Linked DNA regions of Ovis aries. The protein of the gene in region 1 interacts with the protein of each later gene in a biochemical or structural test. Links are inferred from orthologs where the notes say so. Each region holds a gene or a part of one and is shown on either strand. Other genes may lie near its edges.

Region 1 (4,481 bases):
AGTCACCTAACCCCTCTGAGCTTCATTGGTTCAGTTCAGTTCAGTTGCTCAGTCGTGTCTGACTCTTTGCGACCCCATGAATCGCAGCACGCCAAGCCTCCCTGTTCATCATCTCCCGGAGTTCACTCAGACTCACATCCATCGAGTCCATGATGCCATCCAGCCATCTCATCCTCGGTCGTCCCTTTCTCCTGCCCCCAATCCCTCCCGGCATCAGAGTCTTTTCCAGTGAGTCAACTCTTCGCATGAGGTGGCCAAAGTACTGGAGTTTCAGCTTCAGCATCATTTCAGCTTCATTGGTTAAATGGGACCAATCCATAAGGTTGTTGATAGGATTAAATGAAATGATCCATCTAAGGGCAGTTAGCACTATGCCTGGCAGGTACTATTTCCTGAATAAATGTTAGCTGTTATTACGAAATGATTATGGAGTGCCTCCTACAGTAGATGCTTGGCCTTTGAGGTCTACCATGGCATACAGACTTGTAAATGAAAGATTACGGTACAGTGGTTAAGAACCATAATAAAGATAATAAGGAAATAGGGCTGTACATACAGAGAGGGAGTGATGTGATGGTCAGGAAAGGGGAGACTTTTGTCACTGAGATCCCAAAAGGAGTGGAGGGGCATTCCAGAGAGAAGAAACACAAGGTTCATGTAGAGGTGGTGAAGATGAGACGGTGGCTTGGTTGTATGCTGTGAGGTAAATGGGGAGTTCTAACACCTGGAGGTTGTTAAAAGTTTTATACAGAATAGCAGCTGACTCAGAGCTATAATTGAGAAAGTGCAAACTGGCAGATGTGTGCTATACAATTAAGGGCAGCAAGACTATAGAACACCAGTGAGCAGGCTGTCACAGGAATACAAAAATAGATATGGGATGTAAAGGTATAAATGGTCCTGACAGCAGGGAGAGCCGAGGCTACCCATGGCCACAGTTAGAGTTTAGAGAGTCTGGGTAGGTGTCTTGAGAGCCTAAACAGAGGGAACTCCATACTTCCACCTGGCTTGGCACACTCTGTCCCCTTTGTCTTGAATGCTCTTCCCTGATTGCCATTCAATATTCAGTGCAAGCCCTCCTGGATTCCCCTACAGAATGGATTAGGGGGCTCTGTTATGTGTTCCTAAAGCCCCTTGCCCCTTCCCCATCGTATCACTTGGCACGCCTTCTTCAAAGACTGTTTCCTGGTTTCTCCCACTGGTCTGCGAATTCGGTGAGGGAAGGGCTCGCCCTTGATGACCTTTGCACCCTCGGGGCAAATGTGGTGTCAACTGTTTGCTGAATGAATCAGTGAAAACAAGAACTTCAGCAGGCGTGGGGAGAAGCTGGAGGAACCATCAGAAAAAGACAATCTCAGGAAACACAGGCCCTGGGGCCACATCACCTTTTCTGCTCTAATTCTGTACCCTAGTCGCTGCCTAGAAGCCTGGGCCTTCCAGTAACTTGAAACCTGGAGGAGCAAAGAACCGCGTCGCCAACAGCCTACTGGTAGCTGAAGCCCCGCCCCTCGGTCCTGGACTCCCCCTCACCCTCTGCAGTCCCAGTCCCAGCCAGGCGGCGACGCCCAAGAGGCCGCATGCGCAGTGCGCTCACGATCTGTCACTTGCCCTTCTCCCAATGGCGGGCGGTGGTTCCCTTCCCGGCATCCTCCCGGGGGCCAGGAGCACGTCATTTCCGGTGGGGAAGGCCCGCGGCCGCCGCCGCCATTTCGGGCGCTGCTGTGAGGCTGAGACCCGAGCCGGTCCGCTGGGCGGCGGGGGCCGGGGCTGGAGGGGCGCGCGCGGCGGCGGCGGCGGCGGCCCAGCGTGTAGGCACGGAGGTGGCCATGGCGGGCAACTTCGACTCGGAGGAGCGGAGTAGCTGGTACTGGGGGCGGCTGAGTCGGCAGGAGGCGGTGGCGCTGTTGCAGGGCCAGCGGCACGGGGTGTTCCTGGTGCGGGACTCGAGCACTAGCCCCGGGGACTATGTGCTCAGCGTCTCCGAGAACTCGCGCGTCTCCCACTACATCATCAACAGCAGCGGCCCGCGCCCGCCGGTGCCACCGTCGCCCGCCCAGCCTCCGCCCGGTGAGGGACGGACGGGACGGGAGGCCCGGGGCGGGGGTGAGGGCCGCGGAACTCCCCAGCCTGGCTGGCTGCGCCTCGAGAGCTGACCCCCACGAGGGACGTGGGCAGAGGGCTGGAGTGAGCGTGGCCGGGGCGCAGCTTCTGCCGGGGCTCGCTCCCACGGACCAGCGCGAGTGTGTGGGGGAGGAGGAGCCGCTGACCCAGGCCTCTGGGTGTGACTTGGGAGGACAGCCCAGGGGAAGGGGAACTGCCTCGGCCCCAGGGTGGGGCTAGCGCCCGAGCACAGCCGGGCAACGTGGGGACAAAGAGCTGAGAAGGATGTTGGCACTGCGGGGCATCACTTGGCAGCGGTGCCGGGAATGAATCCGATAATCCTACAAGTGGCTTTTTAGGCTTGAAACATTTCCTGCAGTGTTGGAAAGCCGGGTTTGGCCATACTCCCCTGGTGGCCTTTGGTAGGAAGTCACCACATACTGGCCGAGAGGGATGGAGACACCCTCAGGAAACCGGTCAGCTTTTTCCTTTCTTGGGCATTTTTCCAAAATACTTTTACCTTCCTCTTCCCCCGCGGAGGATGAAGGTGGTGAGCTAAGTGCCTTGGTTATAGAAGAAAAGCCTCTGTGACCAACCCTGAATAAGCTGATGTCCGGCTGACTGTGTCCAAGAGAGCTGAGCTTCCAGAGACTGTTCTCCACAATGAGGGGGGTTATAGTTTTCAAAGCAATCAGTGGAGGAAAGATTTTTATTTTTATATTTCAGGAAATAATTCAGAAATAAGCCAGTGGAAACAGTCCCTTCCCTGAAAGTGAATGGAAGTTCATTTTTCCCTGGACTCGAACGTTATCAGTCTTGTTTGTCCTCCAGGGCCTCTCCTTGTTCAGTAAGTTGAGGGCTGTGGCTTGAGTCTTCTAGATGTTGAAAACAGATCCCACTGAAGTGACTCTCTTGAAAGTTTAAATGATCTGCACTGGATCTTCCTTGCTAAAGGTTGAGATATGACAGTCACCCAGGCCACTGGAGTTGTTAAGGGGATTTGTGCACTTGGTACTTGAGATTTGTGGTATACAGAGTAATTCTGAGGTTACAGTTATCTGTGTAACAGTACGGAGAGTCTTAGTGCCACCTCGCTGTTCCAGGTGGAAGCAGTTTAATCCTGACCACGTGAGACTAGATTCAGGCCAATCTCACCTGAATTAAGAGACTCCGGAACCAGCCTTTGCAGACTTGCTCTTTTAGGAGAGTCCTAATTTAGGGTTATTCTCTCTGACCAGAAATGAAATGGGATAATCTCTTGTTAACACATACCAATTAAAAAAGCGTAGGGATCATAAAGCTTACAAATTATTCTAGGTCTTTCTCAGCCTGGTTGGTTTAATAGCATTATAACATGAGGTGGGAATGTGTTTACTCTAAACCAAACATTTTCTACTTTTTACCACCTTCATGATGTCTGGGTTTTTGCATTACTGTGCAGTGACATGATGGCAGACAGTCACTGAAACTCAAGTTCCCAACCTTCTGTGTGTTTTGTTGGTTGAAAAATTTGGAAATAGCAGCAGGGGCTTTGCTGGTGGCTCAGATGGTAAAGAATCTGCCTGCAGTGCAGGAGAACCCAGGTTCAGTCCCTGGGTGGGGAAGATCCCTGGGAGAAGGAAATGGCAAACCAGTCCAGTATTCTTGCCTGGAGAATCCCATGGACTGAGGAGCCTGGCGGACTACAGTCCATGGGGTTGCAAAAGAGTTGGATGCGACCTAACACACAGCTTTGTTTGAGCTTTCCCCACGTCTTGGTGTTAATAACTTTAATCTCAGCTGTTACCTTAATGTTGAGCTCCACCTTTTCGTTAACAGATATGAATTCAGATCTTTGGCCCCAGAGAGAAGGTGAGGATTGCCAGAGTTTGTGGCTGGGGTGTGGAAAGTTCATGGGCATTGTGGTCCTTTTTGTTTCTGCCGTGTACCCTATTTTCTGCATAGGACAGTTGATTCAGTTGCTATCTTTGTAAAGATTACTTAATCTTTGTTCTCCCCCTCCCCCCATGAAGCTCTTTTCTTTTGAAGCCACACAGAAGAATTTCTTGAATTTTAGAGAGGCATATACAGTATTAATAGCTGCCATTTATTGACTGGTTATTCTGTGCCAGGCACTTTGCTGAGTACATTATATGCCTTGTCTCATTTACTGTCTATAACAGTCCAGTGAGGAAAGTACTATGACCTCCACTTATTAAACTATTTCCGTTTTATAGATGAGGAAACAGAGTCAGAGATACCGTAAAGTGCCGCAAAGTCACGCAGCTTGTAAGCAACTGAGCCAGAATTGCACCTAGGAATTGTGGCCTGAGAGCTGACACTGTTATACTGCACTGCTTTCTGTCAAAGCCAGTTTACTTTTGAGATCCCAGTAGTGCACT
Region 2 (3,812 bases), on another chromosome or scaffold:
ATTATGGAAACAGGTTTGTTTGTTCAAAAGATGATTTCATGCTTACGTTAACTGATATAATGGCATCACCGTAAGCCTTTAGGAGACTAACATCCTATCTTACGACAAACAAAATTTCTAACATCAGTATAATGGCACAGTTTTCTTTCTTAAAAGCATGAGGTGTTTTCTATTGGATCCAGAGTTTTCTGAGTCATTGTTAAAACATACTCTCTTCAAGAAGATGGGGTAACCTGTCCCCATCACAGCAATTCCCCCGACAGGGCCTTTTCCTTTCTGCTGACAGCATTCGACCCTGAGTCCAGATGTGAGGGTACTTTGTGCAGTAATAGGCATCAGGTCTCTTTCTGTGGAATCCCACATCCTGAAAGTGGGAAGAGACCTCAAAGGGCACCTGAAAACTTGTCACCAGTGTAGGGATCCGGCAAATAGAAATAAAGCCAGCAAGTCTCTTTTTCTTTTCTCTGTTATCCTGTGTCTGGTTGAACTTGCTCCTCGCCCTGTCTTCTCACAAGACTTTCAGGATCGGGTGATGCCTGGCTAAGACACAGAAGCAGAGTGGTCTCACTCCCCAGTGGATTCGAATGAAAACTGGTGGTAAGATCAGGTAGAACTCCAAAAGAAGACCTTGGAGGAGATGCAAGCTGAGTTTATAAGGAGCCTCCCGTTTGAGGTGGCACACACGTTTGTGCTGTGTCCAGGTCACTGGCATCTTACCATGTCACTCTGAGAGCATCACTGCTGTCTGAACAGCCAAGCACGTTTTATCGGGAAGGTGATTTTTCTGTGTGTAAGGTTTTCTGCACCAGTGCTTTGGATTAGGGCTTTTGTGAGAGCTTCTGGGGAAAAAAAATCCAGCCCCCTAAATTTGTACTTCTGATATAAAGATCATATAATTGTTCTACAGGAGCAGGTCTCATGCAAAAGCTCCCTCTTACAGCAGGGCACCACCCAGCTCTGCTTCAATGCTGTGAGCTGTGGTGCGCTCGCCCACCCATCGCGGTGCATGCTCTGGTGTTGGCACTCTTTCCTGCAGCACAGCCATCTCAGGCCTTCCAGGTTCCGTAACCAGAAGGAGGCTACACCCTTTCCTACTGGATAGCTATTTGTTCGTATAATGCCAGAGCTGCAAGAAGCCTTAAAAAGTATGTGGTCACAAGGTTCCCAGATGCTGGTCTATATCAGTCACTTGGAAAAGTTTCAGAATACAGAATACTGGGATCCACTCCTTAAGATCTTGATTTGTCACGTCTGGAATGCTTACTGGAAATCCCTGTCTGTAAAAATAGACTTGGACCATGATGGCTGGCACATTGGGAAGCTAGTGGTTCAGTCCAACCCCCTCATTTTACATGTTAGAGTATAAAGCTCAGAAAATAGGACAGCTTTGCCCTGAGCCATTCAACCCAAGGAAGCCCTGGAAAAACTAAAGAAGGCATTTTGTATAATCAGAATTATAACAATTCTGCTTTCTGGTAATTCAAACTTTCAAGTGTGAAAAGTTTCTAAAAGCTACATTATTAGTAAGATGTATTGTTTGGATTAACTACAGGAGAAGGTCTCCCTTCGCCCCCGCAGAAACCTAGAGGCTGCTGGGTATAGGATATTAGATGTTGTTGCAGTGAAACTCATTTCAAGACCACCTGCTTGAAAACTAAACTCCTGGAGCTTTGATTTTATTTTCTGTTGGAGTATCATGTTTTGAACTTACGTCCAGAAACCACCTGCTTGATTTGGCTGTGGGAAGCTACCAAAATACATTATGTCATGGAATAATCTCGTTAGGAAAGGAAGTATTTCCAAACGTGATTTATTACTTGGGTAGGAAATGCAGTCCTTAACAAGACAGACTTTTGTCCAAGGAACTCAAATCCACCGTACGTAAATACAGTGCAGTGGTCCAGCACAACTCACAAAACTAAACCTGCTTGACGTGTTACCAGACTCATCCACACAGAGCTTTAAGGCGTGTGGCCTTCACAGAAGAGAGGTAGGAGATGAGTTCGTCTAAGTGGAGGCTTTTTTGCAACGTCCGTTTGTCAACTCTTAGACTTGTAACTGTTAAAAGACATTCTCTAATTGAATTTATCTTAATTTCAAAAGATGTTTTCTTTTGTCTTATGGTTAAAAAAAAAAATTTGCTACTGAGAGTTGGACCATAAAGAAGACTGCACACTGAAGAGTTGATGCCTTTGAACTGTGGCTCTGGAGAAGGCTCTGAGTCCCCTGGACAGCAAGGAGATCAAACCAGTCTATCCTAAAGGAACTCAACCCTAAATGTTTACTGGAAGGACTGATGCTGAAGACCACCTGATGTGAACAGCTGACTCGTTGGAAAAGACCCTGATGCTGGGAAAGATTGAGGGCAGGAGGGGAAGGGAGCAACAGAGGATGAGGTGGTTGGATGGCATCACCAACTCAATGGACACGAGTTTGAGCAAACTCTGGGAGATAGTGAAGGACAGGGAAGCCTGGTGCACTGTAGTCCATGTGGTCACAAAGAGTCAGACATGACTTAGCAACTGAACAACAACACACTTTTAATAAAAAGAAAAGTCCCAAAGGCAAAGTAACAGGCATCTGTGGTTAAGATCCTCGTGTCTTATTGAAAGCTAACCAGAACACACCGCTGGTAGTAAACCTCTTCGTTTCTTACTTTATATAGTCGCCTTTGTTTATTCTTTAAATAAAATCCTGGTAAAAACCACCTAACAGGAAACGGAGAGACTGTTGCCAAAAAACATTTCCAGATATAGGATGGACAGATTTATTAGCCAGATGCTGCCTGTGTTTTAAGTTGGCTACTACATTTAGCCATCTGGCCAGGAAGATTCTTAACATTGCTGTGGATGACTTCCATATGTTCCATGTTGAAACAGTAGAACGTCTTTATTGAAAATCTTCTGATAGGCTAATTAAGGGATTAGAACTGCGATTCTAGGTAGAAGGAAAGTAGTGCCATGGAACCTACCAGAGAGAGTGGTGAGTATGCCTCGGTTCCAGCGTTTCCTCCCTCCCACCTCTCCCCGACCTCCAGCTGTGTATATAGTTGGGCATATGGGTGTGCATGGGGCCGTGTATACATACCCACAAATTTATATGCACACACACACCCAGTATGTGCATAGCGTGTGTGCACTTAACTGACCGTACTGATCATGTAGTAGTTAGCGACATACCTTTCATTTGGGCTTTCTAGATCTGTGAGTAAAAGTCACAAGAGCAATGGAAGTAAGATTTTTTTTTTTTTCTCAATTCCAAGGGCATACAAAGAAAGTTCAAATGACAGCGACCTCACAGAACTATGTTTTCTGATACTGTGAGAGTGACTCTGACTTTTGATTTCATCTTGCTCAGTTTCTTTTGCTGAATGAATGGATGACTGAAGTTTGTGGGTGAAGTTTTGAATTCTTCTTGTTCTAGAATCCTCGATTTGGACTTGGTGGTGAGAGATGAAGATGGGAACATTCTGGATCCAGAACTAACTAGCACAATCAGTCTTTTCAGAGCTCATGAAGTAGCTTCCAAACAAGTGGAGGAAAGATTGCAAGAAGAAAAAGTAAGTTCAGTTCTCTGTAATACGCCGTTCACACCCAGGGTACATTTCCTCAGTAACAATTTACAACATTAGTGAAACATCACCAGTGAGACCCCAGGACTGCATTAGCTGCACCGTGAAAAGGCTCAGCTGCGGCATGTATTTCGGACAGTGATGGATGGAATGGGGCCCAGCGTCTAGACATGCTGTGGATGACCTGAAGGCTTTTCATCCCTTGAGGGGGGACAGGATTTTAATGACATTGACTTTGTGG

The links.
Region 2: the proteins of CRK (region 1) and DOCK1 form a complex in vitro, tested with the Homo sapiens proteins (3 studies listed by BioGRID and IntAct, with this or other methods). The link is inferred for Ovis aries from reciprocal best matches to the Homo sapiens genes CRK and DOCK1.

Annotation. Positions count from the first base shown.
Region 1 is NC_056064.1:22,477,832-22,482,312, reverse strand, and holds the start of CRK (adapter molecule crk), read left to right. Parts: upstream 1-1,671; 5' UTR 1,672-1,826; coding exon 1,827-2,067; intron 2,068-4,481. UniProt on the Homo sapiens protein: Involved in cell branching and adhesion mediated by BCAR1-CRK-RAPGEF1 signaling and activation of RAP1.
Region 2 is NC_056075.1:45,934,434-45,938,245, forward strand, and holds part of DOCK1 (dedicator of cytokinesis protein 1), read left to right. Parts: coding exon 1-13; intron 14-3,423; coding exon 3,424-3,559; intron 3,560-3,812. UniProt on the Homo sapiens protein: Involved in cytoskeletal rearrangements required for phagocytosis of apoptotic cells and cell motility. Along with DOCK1, mediates CRK/CRKL regulation of epithelial and endothelial cell spreading and migration on type IV collagen.